4 linked regions of the Drosophila melanogaster genome follow. The protein of the gene in region 4 interacts with the protein of the main gene of each other region in a pairwise test. Each region holds a gene or a part of one and is shown on either strand. Other genes may lie near its edges. The genes, in order: Sirt4, Cpr92A, CG4835 and RFeSP.

Region 1 (4,076 bases), on a different chromosome or scaffold from region 4:
GTATGTATGATAGAAATTGTCATATATAAAGGATATAATGCTGCTTAAATATGCTAACCATGACCACTACTTAATATAATTATATTATTATTATTATTATTCTTAGCAGTCCTTCGATTTTGCCCATTGTGCGAGGTCTACGCATTGTTTTTCTAGCAGGAATGGACGATTGTCGTAGGAGGGGGGGTAATGAACCGCGTGTGAAAAGTGTCACTGGCCGTGTATGTGTGTGTGCGATGTGTGTTTGTGTGTGCGAGCGGGAGATGCCGATGCCTCAATTGCGGTTCATTTATATGGAGCACTGAGAGCAGCGGCCTGGAGCAAAAACAAAAACATTCAACGGGAGCGAGCGGAAGTGCGCAGCTCTCCCCGGCGCTCCTGCTTCCGCTTCCTGTTGGGATGTGCTGGAATTTCAGAGCACAGGACACTGAGAGAGACAGAGAGGACATGGACTCGGAACCCATGTGCTTGGGGGATGAGCGAATCCTTTTCCCGGAAAGCGTGTCATTGTGTTTCGCTCCAGAGGAGCCTGCGCGAAAATGATCCAAAGGCACAGCCATAAATCAGGAGCTCCGTTGCAACGCTACATTCCATTTGCAAATAGTAATCATTAACATTTATTTTTTAGCTAAAATAGAAAGCCTGGCTTTCCATAACTACAAATTTAGTGGGGGTCAACATATAACAACTGTGAGTATTAACTGACGCTTTTCGAATTGCGAAAGTCGAACAGTTTGGGTATGACATCGCCGCACTTGGCGGATATCTTGATATCCGCCAGGTGATCGGCGCGCGTTTCGCCAATATTAACAATGCCCACCGGTAGCTTGAGGTCCTTGGTCTGCAGGACAACGCGGTAGCCGGAGAAGACCAGGAGACTGGACCCGAGGACAAGCAGGCCATCGCTATTGTACACCATGCCGGCAATCTGATCCACTCGTGGCCGAGGCACAGAATCTCCGAAGAAGACAATTTCCGGCTTCAAGTCGCCGCCGCACTGCGTACACTCGGGTATCCGGAAGTTCTCGATGTACTCCAGCGGTATCTCTACATCGCCATCGGGCCGGATCATGTCGGGGGCATCTTTGAAGGCCGGATTTAGCGACGCCAGTATGCTCTGGAACTCGTGACGATCGATCCGGTACTCGCATGACAGGCACTTGACCACATAGCCACTGCCATGAACCTCCACAACATTTCGGCTGCCCGCCTTCGTGTGCAGCCGGTCCACGTTCTGGGTGACCACCGCCTGGACCCGCTCCTCCCGCTCGAATCTGGCCAGCGCGTGATGCGTGGCATTGGGCTGTGTGGCAGAAAACTTGGGCCAGCCCACAAAGTTCCTGGCCCAGTACCGCTTGCGCACCGCCGACGACTTGACGAACTCCATGTGCTGGACGGGCTTGTGGTTGGAGCGGGCGTAGAGGCCCACGCCTTCGGAACGGTAATCGGGAATCCCTGGAATTTATTTCAAGTTTTTAGACAGCCAGAAATGTTGATTTAAATAAAATACTAATGCGAATCCAAGTATAAGCTAGAAGTCACTTGCATTAGCATTATATAAATAAATGAATAATGTACAAGCTTTTGGAAGTCAATCTGAAATATTTGTGTTAATGGCTTCTGAACATAGAAAAGTCGGAAAATCATGAAACTCACCCGATTCCGTCGAGATGCCAGCGCCCGTGAGAACCAAAACATTCGGTTTGGACAGGAGAAAGTCCTCCAGCCGTTTGATGTCGTCCTCCACGACGGGCTTGTGATGCGGCACGTACTCCTGCCTGGCGGTGGAGCTGCGCAAGCTGGTGCTCCGGAAGCGGAGCAGCTGGCCCACACGCATTGTTTTGTTATGTATTATTGCAAGTAATATTTGGTTCTTTTTCGGTTACGTTACTAGAGGTGAGCGCACGCACATCGATGGCAACTCCTTCAGTCGCTTACCGCTGTAAATCGATTGTATGCCCCGCAATGGCAATCGATAACTGTACGACCCCCATCGATTTTTACACGCCATCAGCCGATAGCAGCTTGCCAGCAGCTACCATCTCTAGAGCAACGGCTGCAGAAAAAAGATATTCTATTCGGTAATTTACGCGTGGATTTATCACGCGCCGTGAACCCAGAAGTTACAGGCCAACCTTTCCGAGATTCGATCAGTGAACCTTGCGGGCGTCCAGCTTCGTAAGCACGAAACAGGACATTCACACACATATTTATCACTCCGTGTGGCGTTTGCGCCCATCCGTGCGTGCCTGTGTGTGTGTGTGTCGCTCGTCTGTGCGTGCGTGAGTGTGTTTGTGAATTGTCGGCTTTAATTTTGCAAGCTCGCTAAAGTTGTGTTTTCAAAGGACATCGCAAAGGAGTCGCAGCGCACAAGATGTCGTACCCGCCGCGGGCGCCCATGCCGCCCTTCATGAATACAGCCATACCGCCGCCGCACGTAAGTCCACCTTTTCTGGGTCACAATCACCATGAAGCTGTCAGAATCTGACGCCAAATCCTTTTCCACCTACTCCATCCGCTTTCAGATAATGCAGAACATGGCCAAGCCGCCGAGGAGCTTCCGTAACTCGGCCACCATTAGTTCACAGCCGACAGTATACCAACGTCCGCCGGAGCCGCAACCACAGTTCCGCGGACCCATCATTACCGTCTTCGTGGGCAACATCAGCGAACGCGTCCCGGAGGCACTGCTCAAACGCATCCTGAACGCTTGCGGCGTGGTAATCAATTGGAAACGGGTGTCCACATTCGGCTTCTGCGAATTTGAGTACGTTCAACCATAAATCGGTCATCCCAAAATCACTTTAGAAGGCTTAGGGCAGCACAAGAAGGTTTCGTTAGTTAAATAACGCTAGAAAAGTAATTGAAGAGCCATTGCATAAACAGCAGCATAACGCATCTCACTCGTTGTTTGATGCGTTTCCTAGAATAGCTTAGCTTATTTATAAAAAGATTGAAATACTTCTAGGAATGCTCCCTACTGCGACAGCTCTTCAAATTCTATATGCGCGATCGAATAACTACTCGAGCACTTTTAAGTAACCTAACTTTAAGCAATACAACACAGGGTTGAGCTTGCATACATTTATGTTTAGAGCCAACGGGCAGTCCACCCATTTGGCTCTCCAATTGTTCCTATAAATACTCTGCCTAACCGCTTTCCTTGGCATTCTTTCAGCGGACCTATTGCGGCAATGCGAGCCGTTCGCCTGCTCAGCGAGATGGAAATCGATGGCAAGAAGCTGGTAGCCAAGGTAGATGCCAAGAACAAGGTTCTCATCGAGGATTACAAGGAGCAGGAGTGCAAGAACGGCGATCGTTCCAACCCAGTGGACGAAAAGACCGAGGACGAGTTCGCCATTGCCCAGATGCACGAATTCCTGGAAGAGCACAAGCACGAGTTCGAAGGATTCGATAGCAGCAGTCGCGCCGATTTGTACGGCAGCGCCAATCGCAATAAGAAGACACGCCGCGAGGAAGACATAAAGATGAAGGTGCTAAGCGAAAATACCCTGGAGGAAGAAAAGCGCAACTTGATTAGCAGCGAGATAGGCAAATTCCGTATGCGTGCGGAGGAAGACGAGCACCGCAAAGAGCTGGAGAAGGAGAAGGAAAAGGAGAAGCTTGCGGCCAGCAAGGAGAAGGAGCGCAAAAAGCAGCGCGAAATGGAGCGAATGTCGTCGACCAGCAAGTCTGGCAGCTCATCGACAGCGGCCGCCAGTTCCTCCAGCGCTACAGCCACCTCTTCGACACCCGCCGCCGATGGGGCTGACATGTCGGATAAGACAGACAAGGAATCAGTCGCTGTTGTGATCAAGGAAACAGTTAAGGAGTCAAAGGAATCTGCCTCCTCCACCGGACGCAAGGAGTCGTCGTCGGCTGCCATCGAGATAACACAGAAGGAGCGCCGCTCTGACTCAAAGGAGACACGTCGCCGCCGCTCCAAATCCCGCTCCAAGGATCGCGAACGGGAACGTGAGCGTGAGCTGCGCGAGCTTCGCGACAAGGAGCGCGAACGTGAAAGGGATCGGGAGCGTGAGCGCGAGCGGGAACGCAACGAAATGCGCGAACGGGAG
Region 2 (3,988 bases), on a different chromosome or scaffold from region 4:
TGCATAAGAAAGATTGGATATTACATGGTCGGGACCAATCACCCATTTTGTGTCCACACTCACCAATGCTCTGGTGTGAAGGTGATAAGGGTCTGCGAAAAGTAGTGCAGTGATCCAAGAATATTTGTGTAGCCGTACAGCAAAAGGATCATCACCTGGAACCTGCCATAGTTTCCACACTTATCCAGAACCTGACTGAAATCCATCAGACGTTGCTTCGATGACATAAAAAATTTCCAAAGCGACTGACTACTTCCAACTCCCTTTGAGAACTGACCAGAAGCTAAATTAAACTGCGCTGGGAATAGCCATAAATTTATCTTTAGCGGCTTTAGGCAATATGTTTCATAAAGCTAAAACAGCTGGATGGGTTTTAAAATTACAGATATACCGTCAAATGTTTTGCCAGCTGTGAGCCCTGTAATTGGGAAAATATCTACAGGAGATGTCACATCTATCGCGTAAGTTTTTGTCGAAACAAAATTTTTGCAATTAAAATACCTACATACATACCAATATTGTGCTTAACTAATCCATTATTGACTAGATTTTCCATTCAGCCATATTGGCAACTTTGTAGCATTAGCCTGCCATTCTTGTTGATCAATTGCTTTGATCTTCTGGCTAAAAATAGTTAAAACAGCTGACATCGACTGGCCCGGCGGTTGGCACGACTTTGATTCTTTGTTATAGTTAGTTGTCGCATAAACAGGCCCGATGGTAACAGCAAGGGTAAGACAATGCATGCAGATGTCAATAGTTTTCCAGATGCCAGATACAAATTTGCAGCCATAAATTAAGCTCACAAAACGGTAAACATGAGAATTGTCGCAGACACTTGGTCGTTAGAGGCTGGAAAGGGTATTTTTGGCTAATCAGGCACTCTTAGGAACTAGCTGCAAACTTTTTTGGTCCTTCCAGAAATTATCTCAAGTTTATCATTGATTATAAACTATGTAACTGATCAGTATTCCTATTACAATGTGTCCTATCATAGTCAGCTTTTAGCATCTCCGCTACGTAGCAACCATTTAAGGGGAAGATCAAACAGAAAACCAGTCTTCAGCTGAAGGATCAGTCATGAGTAACCTTATATAGTCGTCATGCCACTTTTTGAAGGGTATTATTAATGACATTATTTGCCTAGACTGCAAGTGGTTGTTTGGCCTGGTCTGTGGGCCAGACTAATGTGCCGACAGCAGCGCGTTGACCTTTTGCTTTATTAGGCTGTTGTGGCGAGCCAGTCGCCCCTGTTTCCGCCCCCCTTCTTCGGTGAGCCTCTGGCTTTTGGGCCCACTCCAGGCACTCTTAATTCAATTGTGGACCACCTGACCTTTTGCGCATGCGCTGCAACTGCCATTTCATATGGAACCTCAACATCGCCCGGTGCAGCTTGTTCTTCTTAGCTAATTACGCGGCAGCCAAATGCAGCATATCCTAACATCCAGCCAATGTTAATGTAACATTTCAATTGTGTGCGGCAAAATAAATTTTCACATAATTGCCAAAAGTCGGTGTCCAAGCGGGTATTGAAAAGCGAATCGAAAACGAATCGTAAACGTCGCAAAAGTGAAAGGGCAAAGCTCGGGTTGGATTGGCTCCGGGGTCTGGGGACCCTTTAAATGGTTTAGCGGAAGAATAACCTTTCTAAGTCGACACGATAACTGCGCCAAAGTTGAAGCCAGGCACACGATTTGCCGCCAGGTGGGCAAGAGTCAATCCCCGCCCCCGTGGCTCCGCAGTACTGGTCCGCGCCATGTGCTTGATCGCTGGCCCAAGACACCGAAGACTCCGTCTGGCCGGGTCTCTCTTGATCTGAAATTAGTTTATTGCCTCGACTGCGCCATGTGAAGCAGGCGACATTTGCCGCCGTTTGCCAGTATAAATGGCCAGAACTTCCAGCGAACGCTTGCAGTTTTGGTTACTTCTTCTAGCGCGATCGTCGTCGAAACCAACAATACTCCGGCCACTCTCTACGTGTGGTGTCTGCTGAGTCTGTGACAACTGTGAGCGAGTGGAAAGGATACCCCTGCAAGGACATCGTTATGCTGAAGGTGTGAAAACAAAGGATACCAAAGTGCTCTTATAGTCTGGACAATCAAGTTTAAGCCGATTTAACATATTCTCAAGGGGAATGCCAAGATGAATTAACCAAGTGTTCCTATTACTAAAAGCTTATATTTTATTCATACAAAGAAAATTAGTGCATAAAGAAGATAGTTTAAGTCCTAATGAAACCCGTCGAATGATCCGAGTTAATATGTGATTTGATTTAAATTAAATTTAATTGCCAAGAATTATTCTAAACAATTCTTCCCTGTCCTCATATTACTTAAAGCTTATTTCAATTTAATCGCTTTCAACATTTTCTTTTAATTTTTTTTTCAGATTTCCCTGCTGAGCGCCATGCTCGGCATCGCCTATGCGGGCGTGATTGGACCCGGACCATACTATGGCGGTCCAGCTGGTCCCGGACCTCTGCACCACTATGGAGGATATGCACCGCAGCATGGGCCCCTGCCAGGTCCCTATGTGGCGCCCAAGCCGGCTGCTCCCGAACCCTACGATCCCGACCCGAAGTACTCCTTTGGCTACGACATCCAGGATGGTTATACTGGTGACCTGAAGTCACAGCACGAGACGCGCCACGGAGATGTGGTGAAGGGCAGCTACTCGGTTGTGGATCCGGATGGAACCAAACGCACCGTTGACTACACAGCGGATCCCCATCACGGATTCAATGCGGTGGTCCGCAAGGAGCCGCTGGCCTACAAGGCACCAGCCCACCTGGCACCCGTCGTCGCACCTGCACCCGCTCCAGTACCAGCTCATTACGGCCCAGCTCCGGCGCCTCCACTTCCGCCGGTGCCCAAGGCTCCTCTGCTTTCGTATCCTCTTGCCTTAGGACCTTACCACCGTGGTGCTCCCGCTCCTGCACCAGGTCCCGCTCCCGCTCCTGCTCCAGCTCCGGTGTCTGTGCCAGTGGCTACTCCAGTCCTGCCCTCCGCCCACTTCCATGCCGCCTATCCCGCCCTGGCGCACAGCCCCTATGCCCACTATCCGGCTCCAGGTCCGGCCCCCGCTCCAGTGGAACCCCATGCCTACTACCATCACTGAGGGACCAAGGTTCTCAACTATCTGATCTGATTTGATTCGACTTCATCTATCGCACGCAGCTTACACTGACCCAAAACTGAAACTCCGGCTATATCTGTGCCAAACGCTGTACTCTCAATCTCTTACTCTGTGTTCTTCGAGGGATTTGATACCGATCCAACATGTAGATTGATTCTAAGTTACCCCTAGCCTATGTACACGTCTTTAAGAAAATGTTGTTGAATGGTTAGTCTAGGAAATAAAACGAGAATTGAAAAACCTAACAAATTTGTTTGCGGTCTTCCCTAGAAACTATTAGATTGAAGTTCCGAAGCCAAGAAGAAAATAGTCCCACAAAAAGTTTTTAAATAATTTAAAAAACAACGTTTTAACGCAATTGATGAGTGTTTTATTTATTGTATCAACTTTTCGCAATGGTTCATATATGTATATGTTATATGATATCGTATGTGGCATATCTCATATGTATAATTTCTGATTATGTATAAATATGTATATGTGTGTTGTATATAAACGTTTCGAGTATGTCACCGTATGTTATAAATAAGTTTATTACAATGCATAATGTGTTATTATTTATGTATTATGTTTTATGTTTAATAGGTTCTATGAGCTACCATTCGTAGAACATACTGAAATGTTTTCGATATCGATATAAATTTATGTACTCCTCAGCCGACTTCAAAAGTTCATCAGTGTGCAGAGTGCGTTTTGGTCTCGCTGCACTCGATTAGGTATACAATTTAAATACGATTATAGTCCTTAGTTTTGTAATAAACGGTATCAAAAGATAGGTACAATTGAGTCATGCCTGCTACCACTAAATTAATTTCGAAGCTTCTATTCCAACAAAAACGATTAGTTGCCAAGC
Region 3 (6,464 bases), on a different chromosome or scaffold from region 4:
GGTGATGAATCTAGGCCCCAGGATGCATTGCGCCATATACAAACCCCCCATCAGATCGCCGAGAATCCTTTCCAGTCGCTGGCGACACACGCACCGGGTCAATTTCATGCAACACAAACAAGGGGAGGAGTTGTGGAACGGGGCAAGGAGCAGCTTTGCTGCGTGGAGGACACGTTTTCCCTCGCTTTCACCCGCTTCTCCGCCGCCATTCCTTTGAGGAGCAGCCAGGCGGACAGAAAGGCGAGCAGGTGCTCAGCTGTAACTAAACGTCCGTTTTAACATTGCCATCTGATGGTCCTGCTTCTTGTTTCCCAGATTTTGGATGGGGTGTGGCATGTGGCACATGTCAGTTGCTGGTCACGTCGCATGCAGGGGCATAATTGATAGTTCAATCTGTTGCAGATCAAACGCTTGACAGCAGCCAACAGATCAAGCTGAAAAATTGTCCAGCAGCAAGTTTGGCCAAAGAGGTGGGAACATTTGATTATATTTGATTTGTTGAGCTAATTCCAAAGAAAAATATGCTAAGTATAGAATAAATTTCATATATCTTTTTATAAAAGAGTAATCATGAGTACCTATAAGTATTGTTTCATTCATACTCCTGACTTTAATTTACCCAAAACCATTTATTATTTTAATCTCAAAAAATCTGTACTTAAATAATCCGCACTTTCTTTTATGCAACTTTATTTTTATATTAATGGATTTGTCCTTTCAGGCTGCACTTTATATTTTCCAACTTCGTGACTGTTTGTCAACCCAAAGGCGACTGAAGAAGGGATGGAAAAAAGGTCAGCCAGACAGCATAAAAACATCCTTCAGACAAATAGATTTGTATGCTTTTAAGTAATTTGCAGCACAAATTGAAATACCATGGCTAGCTTTCTATGCAACTGCAGCTTGCAAATCCACTTTAAACTAGAGATACAAATTTCTTCAATCTGTTTATACATTTTCAACTAATTCTACTTAATGCCGTATTTTGTGTGCCACTCATGTTTTGTCGCTTAATTTTAATGGCTTGCCGGGCATTAAACTTCTAGCTTCATTTATGTTTATGTTCGCATTTTTATTCGTGTAATTTACGCGTCGAGTGCTGATCATAAATTGTGACTCGAACTTCGCTGTCGGAAAGGTCACGTGGGCTCATTAAAGACCCAACAACACCGTGAACTGGAACAAGAACAATAAGTGTAATAACAGCAGCAATAAGAGTCACAAAAGGCGCACACAAAACACATGCGAACAGGATAAAATGATTTACCTTCGAAATGAAAGAATATAAAATGACACTCATTTCACAAGCAATACGTGTGTAAAAAAACACCAGTAGGGGAAATACTTAAAGAAAACCCCAGAGAAGCTTCCTGCCTTATATTTTGCTTAAAATTAACCTTTATAAACAAAACAATCTATGACGCCACGATAAGACTTCAATACGTAATTGGCTTATCACTAGATTAGAATATTACGGAAACTATCTTGTGTTGCTCGTGTTGAAATGGCACTTAAGAAAAATAATTCAGAAGTTAACGATAACATAAAATCACAAATCACAATCACTAGAATGAAAACGATATTCTATAAATTTCAAAGAATTTCTAATTAAATCTAATCAAAATGTCATTAATATAAGCTACCGACGTTGTATCAGGAAATAGCTTTTGCTATAGACAAGACAGTTGGCCTAGTTAACAAGTCAGTGTGGAGTTAAACTCGCAGGCGAAAAGACCTATTAAAAATATATAGTACAATTTAGAAAGGGGAGTTGTTATGCAAGGTAAATCTAAGATATTCTATGCAAGTACAATGCAATAAATTATTATGTCAATTATACATAAATATTTAAACTTAAATACTAGTAATAGTCTCTGTATGTTTTTTTTTTTGTATTATTATTGTATTCTTTCCTTTTCCAGATAATATTTTCAAGCCTTTGCCATGGCTTCTGGTGGTTATCGCCGTATTCTGGAGCTGGCAGCTAAATGTTTTGGCCCTGCCAAAGATCGAACCTCGTCACGAAACTTGCAACAATGAACAGCGATACGAAAACCAGGTGATGTGCGAGGGCAAGGACTTTGGTGCTTTGGTACCGTATCCGGATAACTGTAGTTTGTTCCTAGTTTGCGACTGTCTCTATCCCACGGTGAAGTTGTGTCCCGCAAATCTCTGGTGGGATAATAAGACCCAGCAATGTAATTATCCCCAAGCTGTAGAATGTATCTACTACTCGATTGAAACGCCAGAACCTACGGATGGAACTACTCGATTTACGCCAGAACCAACATCCAGTACTCAAAAGATAACGCCAGAACCCACAGAACCACCATCAAGTACGGCAAAGATAACGACAGAAAGTACCACCGGAACCAGTACAGAGATAACGTCCTCTACCCCCTCAAGTTACCTCCCAACATCCAGTTGGGATCCACCACCGGCACCACCGGGAATTTCAGATGACTACTGTCGCAACAAGGAGGATGGCTCGGTACATTATTATCCATATGACTGCCAGGCCTATATAAACTGCACTTACGGCTGGCCCGTGCTAAATTACTGTATTGAAGACAAGGTATTCAATAAGTACCTTGGCATTTGCGATACTCCCGATATGGCAGATTGCGAGGAGCTGCCCCTTCCTACAACCACAACAGAAATGCCGCCCACTTCAACAACTGAGGAGGATGTGGTTTGCGGTCCAACGCCGGAGGGAATTGAAGAGGATTATTGTGTGCCGAAGGGAAATGGTTTCTATGAGTATCCTTACAATTGCAGTGGGTACTTGGCCTGCAAAAATGGTTGCACAGATTTGGATTACTGCCAGCCGGATAAACTCTTTAATAATTGGCTGCACATCTGCGATACACCCGATTCGGTGCGGTGTGACCCCCTGCCATTCCCCACAACTCCGGGAACAACCAACAAACCAACGACGCCTTCAGTCACGACGACGCCTTCAATCACTACAACTCCTTCAACGCCTACAACACTGCCTTCTGATGGGTCTACAACGGAAATACATTCTAGCACCACAGAAGAGATTGTAACCACTACAGATGGACTTCCCTCTGATGTCGATCCAAATGATTGTAAAGATGAAAAGGACGGCACTATTTTTGCCTACATAGGCAATTGTTCGGAGTACTTAATATGTAAAGACAATCAAGTGCAAATGGGTCATTGTCCTCCTAATACGCTCTTCAATCCCGACTTGCTTGTATGCGATGAGCCAGATGATGTTGTGTGCCTTGGAGATCGCACCACGACACCAATTCCAACCACCATACCAACTACTACTACTGAAAAAACCACTCCTACCACGACTACCACCACAGTGGCAACAACTTTGGGACCAGATCAGCTTTGCGATGGTCAGGAGTTGGGAGCTTCGTTTTCTTATCCGGATGATTGCAGCAAGTATTATCTTTGCTTGGGCGGCGGACAATGGACTCTGGCACCCTGCATTTACGGCAGTTATTTTGATCCCAGCACAGGTCAGTGTGGACCTGATGTGGCACCCGATGCGTGCAAACCATCACAAGTCACAACCACCACAACAACAACAACGACAGAGACCACAACAACCGAAAGAAATACCACACCCAAGTCCACAGCTACAACCACCGAAAGGACAACCACAACTGTGGCCCCAAAAACTGGTATTTGCGGTGGTCGAAATGAGAACGAGAATATTGCTTATCCCAACAACTGCACCAAGTACATTGTGTGCGTTTCACCAATTCCCATAGCGTTCTTCTGTCCCGATGGTACATTCTTCAGTTCCAAGTTAGAGAAGTGCATTGATGATTGGGATGAAAGTGATTGTGAGGGTGATCAAAGCACAACGACTCTAGAACCAGGCTATACAAGACCTCCTCCGGAACCGACCATGTGTACAAATAGCAGTCGGGATACATTCCCATATCCGGACAATTGTCAATGGTTCATACGCTGTGTGGATGATTACATTTACATGATGGACGTCTGTAATTGTGGGGAGTACTACGATCCAATTACTGAAAAGTGTGGAGCGGATGTTCCTTCAGATGCCTGTCGATGGGACTACACTTCAACCACATCAACTACCAGTGAGCCGACAACGACCACAGCGGTTACGAGACCACCACCGCAGAAAGGACCTTGTGACGACGTCGAGGATGGGGCCCTTGTCGCTTATCCCAACGATTGTTCGAAGTATATTCAGTGCGATAGACCCATTGCGGTTGCCTTTGAATGCGAAAAAGGAGATGAATTTAGTGTGGAGCTTGGAAAATGTGTTGATGCTTCACTCGCCAATTGTTCGATTACAACCACTGCTAAGCCATCGGAGTCGACGACTACACCAAGAGACGGGGAAGGCTCAACAACGCCTTCCGAACCATCAACGGGATCTTCTACAGAATCGTCTACAGAATCAACAACAGAACCATCTACAGAATCAACAACAGAATCAACAACAGAATCAACAACGGAATCAACAACAGAATCATCTACAGGACAATCAACAGAAACTACAGAATCATCTACAGTATTATCTACTGATACTTCTGAATCACCTTCAACAATTTCAACACCACCATCATCTACTACAATGGAACCAGGAACAACTAACCCGGAAGCTTCTACAACTGAAAAGCCGGCAGATGGAATTTGTGAAGGCAAGACAGACGACTCCTTGGTACCCTACCCGAGAAACTGTAGCAAGTATATAAAGTGCCAATATCCAATACCAGTTGGTTACGATTGTCCGGATGGTTTGGAGTTTAGTCCCACGGAATTGACCTGCATGGATCCCGAACTAGCTGGTTGTAGCACTAAGTTAACCACACCAGGGCTTACAACTTTAAGTACAGAAGCTTCGTCTACACCGGTAACAACAGTTTCAACAACACCCGAGGCTACCACTACAGAAATGTCAACTACTCCAAAGACTACTACTACCGAGTCAACCACAATCTCAACAACAACCACAGATTCAACCACTCCCCAAACAACTACAACAGAATCGACAACTTCCAAAACAACTACCACAGAATCAACGATAATTTCAACAACTCCAACGACAACCGAGCCAACAACTCCAAAGACCACTACTACCGAGTCAACCACAATCCCAACAACAACCACAGAATCAACTACAGCTACAACCACTCCCCAAACAACTACCACGGAATCAACGACAATTTCAACAACTCCAAAGACTACTACTACAGAGTCAACGACAGTTTCAACAACCCCAACGACAACCGAGTCAACGACAATTTCAACAACCCCAACGACAACCGAGCCAACAACCGTTTCAACAACTCCAAAGACAACAACCACCGAATCGACAACAGTAACAACAACAACTGAATCGACAACCACAGTTTCTACACCAACAACTCTAGATCCGTACACCCCCAATATATGCTGTGGCCAAGCTCTTGGAACTCTGCTTCCGTATCCCAATGATTGCGGTCGCTATGTCGTCTGTGACTATCCCATTCCATATGCCGTGGATTGCGATGAGGGAACGATTTTCGATGATAATCTTCTTCAATGCACCTCTGTTCCCAATGAAAGGTGTCTTTTTATTGAATTTTAAAAAAATATATTAATAAAGCATAAATCACAGCAATAATCTTTTCCATTTCTGTTCTTTTTGCTACCCCAAAAAATCAATTGGGTAAATGCACAAATGCTCAATAGCTGGGAATCGCTTAACATATTCCTCACACATTACACTTCTAGGGCTTTCTAAGTCCTTTTTTAAGTGTTTCACTTTTTAGACATATACTTTGCTCCAGTTTTAGTATCAATTACATGCAAACCCTTTTCCCGTAATATGTCGCAAAAAAACGGAACCAAGAAAAAAAAAGTAATTTACCACTTAACACAGTCAATTCCCCGGACAGGTAACAAGCCGATTGGAATTGCAGAACCTCCTGTCGAAAGGATTGCAAACGAAGACCCTCAAGGGGACGCAAACGCGCGACAGTATTTTTAGCAACAGGCTAAAAGCAGTTTCCCCTTGACAATGCCACGTCTGATATCCTGCTCAGTTACAAGTTTCAGCCATTTATCGTAGCCTGATACTGCCGTTCTTGGCCCAAAGCTGAAACCCTCGGAAGCTCGTCTAATCAGATTTGGGGTTGGCCACATAAAAACACAATTGCCAAGGAATTATCCTTAGGGTGTGAGGTGGCAGGCAGGACATATACAATTGAGGGTAAATATAACAAGCACAAGGATAAGTTGTTCAGTTTTGTTGTTGCTACTGCGGTTGTTGTTGTGGAAATCGAAGAAAGGGAAAGGAAACCAAAGCAAGTTATGTATGTGAGCATCAATGACAGTAACGACACAAAATGAACACAATTCGAGCAAATTGTTTGGCAATAATGTTAACTTAATGCGTTCCATTTGTCGCACTTGAATCGATAGACACGCGCGAAGGCGCTCCTTCGAGTGATTTGTAACGC
Region 4 (4,585 bases):
GTGCAGAATTTGTCCATTTCGGGAGTTTCTTCGCTGGCTGCAGCTGCTGATAATGAAGAAAGTGAGTAAAGGATGGCAGGATCAAAAGCATGAACGTGGTAGTTGACAAGATGTACCTTAATAGTCTTACCATGATAGGTTCTTCTACAGCAATATTTCAGTGCTTTATCTCTAATAAACTCTAAAAACATCTTGCAGGTAGTACCTATTTCGAATCGGAATTGAACCGAAAAAGCCTCAGAAGCGCCTCTACCGAAGTCAAGCTCGTGCCGAATAACTCAAGCTACTCAGTTGACAGACCAAACTACTCAGCTCTGAATGTAAATGAAGAGTCAGTCGATGTGAGCTCAGAAGAGGATGCCACGAATACCCTGAAGGATGAAAAAGTCGTTCTGATCAGGCTGCAACAGGAGTACTATCGATGCGAAAACGCCCGGGCAGCCGAGAAGCACAAGCTTGAGATGGAGAAGCAGAAATACGAGCTGGAGCAGCGAAAGGTGGAGCTGCGCAATATGCGCCTGAAAAACGAACTTCTCGAAGCGGAAATACTCGAAAAACGACGCAAAGTCGCGCAAAGCAAGGCTTCATCCTAAGGAATTGCTAGCTAGGATAAGTTAATTTATTCTTGTCTTCATAATGTCAGTGCTCTTCAGTAATTACTATAGTCCTAGTTAAACAAAAGATTATCGAAAGAAACTCATGTACACTCCTTGATTTTTGAAACCAGAAGCAAACAATTACATCTTCAAAAGATTTAATAATGTCTGTCAAACTTCTAAAGATTCGTCTACATTTTAACAAGTAAGCTGGATTTAGGCTGCTGGATTTAAGCCCTTCACATTTATTCCTCCTCAGTTCGAATGAATTGCTCGTTTATGCTCGGTCGTTCTGTTTGGTTGTATTTATTAATTTACATCGATCCATTCACTATGCAGTTGGGGGCTTAAACGATAACAGCTCCTCTAGCCGACCACGAGAAGACCCTCGTTGGGGAACTCGTGGGTGGGCACCTCCAAGTTGAGGGGCGCGGGTCCCTTGCGGATCCTTCCGGAGGCGTCGTAGTGGGAGCCGTGGCAGGGGCAGTAGTAGCCACCCCAGTCGCCGGCGTTCGCGATGGGCACACAGCCCAGATGCGTGCACACTCCGATGACCACCAGCCACTCGGGCTTGATCACACGTTGCTAAAGAGGAAATGGGTAACAGCATTAGCGAATCGACCCACTCCACGGTACCTACATCATCAGCCTCCGGATCGCGCAGCGTGGATGTGGGCACATTTCGCTCGGTCTCGATTTCCGCGGCCGTGCGGTGGCGGATGAACAGGGGCTTTCCGCGCCACTTGAAAGTAACCGACTTGCCCTCCGGGATGTCGGACAGCTTGATCTCGATCTTGGCCATGGCCAGCACTTCGGCGGAGGCGCTCATCGATCCGATGAAGGTGTTAACCAGGCCCTTGGCCGCATAGGCACCGCCCACGGCTCCGGCGCCGACCATCAAGTAGGAGAAGGCCTTGCGCTCCTCGGCGGTGTCGTTGCGACGACGACTGTCCTTCACGGACTCCCGGCGGTATGCCGAGAAGTCTGGCACCTGCAGGTCGGTGTGTGCCTGGCGATTGGCTGAAAGGAAGGAGGGAATCATTAATTATCCATTGATCGAAGTGCAGAGGTTCTATAGATCCTTGTGCTTGTTTGCAGAGCAGTGTTGCTGATATAATCATAAATTTTTTGTGTGGTGGGCAGTGAAGAGTGTAAACAACATTGTTTTGGGGTTGTCAAGGCTGAAGGTATATTTCTTATAGCCGACACAGGGCATCTTGGGCCAACTTGGCATAACTTGGCGTCCCTTGCAGACAGAGGTGCCAAACTTCGCATGATGATATTCCTGGTCCCAGAGGTAGTAAATCCCACGTTTGGCAGAAATCGATTGAGTATATCCCACAGATCCGATGTAAATTGCAGGTGTGCTTGTGAGCCAGTGATTGTTGTTATTGTACGAGGTTATGTTGAAATTACGTAAGGAAATTTGACAAATCGCCTTAAAGCCGAGTGCAAATCACGTCCTGGTGGCATTTCCAAGCTTTTATTCAACTTTTTCCGCCTATTTCCCGATCCATTCATTATGTAATGGCTGTGTTTTCAGCTGGCAGCTCGATGAATTCGCCTCGCAGAGCCTTACCCATCGAGTTGACGGCCACGCCGCTCGCCTTCAATCCCGTGGAGAGGACCTGGGCTCCGCCTCTGACGTAAGCACGCGACACGGCGTTCATCATTTTGTATGTTTCCCTATCAAATTAAATGATCACGAAAATTTCGACGTTTGTCGTTTTCGTCTGAGAACCAGTGTGACCGCACTCAAGTGGGTGAGAAATACCAGGTAACCTGCAAAAAATACCACAATATACTAGTATATATTAGTGTATAGTGCTGCCAGCTATTTGCATTCTCAGAGTTGCCACTACGATTGCTCACTGTCAGGAGCTGGCCGCTATTACAGCCCAGTAACGGTTTTTTAAATAGGTGAATAGAATTTCAAATAATTTTTGGAACAAATGATATTGTAGCTCGTTAAACCACCCCGCAGTGCATAAAAGCTTTTACTTTAATTTAAATTGATATGCATTTCATGTTGAAATGATAATCCTGCGTCGAATTAAATTGCATTTGTTTCACCTTGCCGTTCAATCCTTCATCCCCTTTCGTTTTCCTTCGAAAGGTGAAAAGGAGGCTCAGTTTCCACCCTTCGACCTTTTCATTCAAGTGAAAACTACCTTTCTTTTCAATTGGAAACTGCAGTGGCATAGATTTAGCCCGGATGAAAAGGGGTTTCCATGGCAAACCGGTTGGTCAACGCACCACCGAGTGGAGAACAAAAGACGAGGTCCAACCACCGGACTTTCACTATCCAGTTTTTCCACTGCACTTTTCCATTTTCCCCCGGGCAGCATCATTATGATGTCATTGATTGGACTTTGCTGGATGTTGCCTATTTTCTTCGGGGTAGTTTCTCTCAGCTTAATTAATAAGCGTAGCTCCTGAATTGGAGATATGCCTCGGCTGATCTCATCCAACGCATAAAATGGCAATAAAAACTGCATAAAAAACAGCCGATGTAGGGGAATTTGTTATGCGCATAAAAGTTTGCCGCCCGAAATTTGGCCAAACTTTAAAACCAAAAAAGCGGCCGTGGCAGCGGGGAAAACTCTCCCGCAGCCGGCTGAAATGTAATTCCTCTGGCGCCAGTCCTGTGATTATCGAAAGTAGTTCTTTTTGATGTCGAAACTTTGCTGCCACCCACTCCCCTCCTCCTTTCACTGGCTAGGTGGCAAGTGAAAGTGGGCCCGAAAGTGCTCCACTCCTCGCTCCGCTGCGATGTGTTCATCTATTTCCCAGCCGGAGGAGGAAAATCTGCGCACATAACGGCGCCTCTATGTACTTGGCCCAAAACACGCACACATACAAAATGGGTTCCTACGGAAAAGTGCGTAAAATTTGGCCAAAAACAAACTTCATAATGTAGTTGGGATATGAACAAGGGGATACTCTACATTTACACAAAATAACAGACGTTTTTTTGTGCGGAAATGAGATTTATTTATTTATTATGCATTTTAATATCTAGGACACAAACAGTAACCACTTGTTATGTTCCAATATTTGACATATCAATTTCTGACAGTGTAGAGGCCTGAAAAGTTGAAACTATGCCGCGTAGGCGACGTGGCAATGGCATCTGCCCTTTCCCTGGATTTTGCGCATCCACCCACCGAATTTTCCAGCCACCACAACGCCTCCAACTTCAAAACTCGACCGCATCCCCACTCAGACTTAACTCTTGTCAAGCTTCGACTGCGTTACACTTTTCAGCAACTTTTACATGGGAAACTGGCGCCAACTACAACAGCAGCAGTAGCAACAACAAAGTTTCAACCCTGCCCCAGGGCAGCCCCCCCTTACCCCCCTTACCACTCCCTGCCACGCTTCTTGCCGCACACTCCACCCCCTTTTCAACCATTTCTGTGCGGCGTGTGCAGCGTTGCGGCTGCGGCAGCAACAACATCAGCACAGCAGTAGCAAGAGCCGAAATACACTCGAAAAAGTATTGTTTAGCTTTATAATTGAGATATTTACATTTCCTAAAGTTTAGCTTAGTTATTATTAACTTTTAAGCTATACCCTATTTGGGAATTATGAATGGTGTGTGTCATATATTGTTTATTTTCAAATACTTTTAGCCGTGTAGGCGACGACATGGCCTGCTTATCGCAACATCAGCCAAGCATAAAGCTGAGCCCACCCAGAGTGGGTCGCCACCCCTTGGAAAAGTTGAAAGTGGAAAATTGTGCGTGGCAGGCAAAAGTTTCTGAGGTTCCCTGGCTGACTGACAGATGCGGAGGCGCCGCCACGCCCACTGCTATCCTGATATCCTGCTATACTGCTATCCAGCCATGCCATACCCCTTCCCTGCGCTGACTTTAACCATTTACAAAAACGAAAATTAAATGAACAGAATCATCTGTGCAGCATCAGCGAGGCGAAGGAGCCGCCAGGAGCTCTGGAAATTGCGGAGGACTGCCGCATGTGCAGCG

Evidence for each region.
Region 1: the proteins of RFeSP (region 4) and Sirt4 interact in a two-hybrid assay, tested with the Drosophila melanogaster proteins (one large-scale study listed by BioGRID).
Region 2: the proteins of RFeSP (region 4) and Cpr92A interact in a two-hybrid assay, tested with the Drosophila melanogaster proteins (one large-scale study listed by BioGRID).
Region 3: the proteins of RFeSP (region 4) and CG4835 interact in a two-hybrid assay, tested with the Drosophila melanogaster proteins (one large-scale study listed by BioGRID).

Annotation. Positions count from the first base shown.
Region 1 is NC_004354.4:5,664,032-5,668,107, forward strand, and holds Sirt4 (sirtuin 4), read right to left. Parts: upstream 1,910-4,076; 5' UTR 1,838-1,909; coding exon 1,657-1,837; intron 1,597-1,656; exon of another isoform or gene 1,456-1,596; coding exon 698-1,455; 3' UTR 597-697; downstream 1-596. Other genes in the region: CG4119 (uncharacterized protein), read left to right, coding at 2,375-2,437, 2,526-2,767, 3,179-4,076. UniProt on the Drosophila melanogaster protein: NAD-dependent protein deacylase. Catalyzes the NAD-dependent hydrolysis of acyl groups from lysine residues.
Region 2 is NT_033777.3:19,596,892-19,600,879, reverse strand, and holds Cpr92A (cuticular protein 92A), read left to right. Parts: upstream 1-1,924; 5' UTR 1,925-2,045; coding exon 2,046-2,054; intron 2,055-2,388; coding exon 2,389-3,117; 3' UTR 3,118-3,378; downstream 3,379-3,988. Other genes in the region: CG7333 (uncharacterized protein), read right to left, coding at 64-206.
Region 3 is NT_037436.4:5,478,074-5,484,537, forward strand, and holds CG4835 (uncharacterized protein), read left to right. Parts: upstream 1-1,716; 5' UTR 1,717-1,776; coding exon 1,777-1,783; intron 1,784-1,922; coding exon 1,923-5,590; downstream 5,591-6,464.
Region 4 is NT_033779.5:1,611,808-1,616,392, forward strand, and holds RFeSP (rieske iron-sulfur protein), read right to left. Parts: upstream 2,354-4,585; 5' UTR 2,270-2,353; coding exon 2,176-2,269; intron 1,617-2,175; coding exon 1,237-1,616; intron 1,182-1,236; coding exon 963-1,181; 3' UTR 622-962; downstream 1-621. Other genes in the region: CG14352 (uncharacterized protein), read left to right, coding at 1-61, 199-593.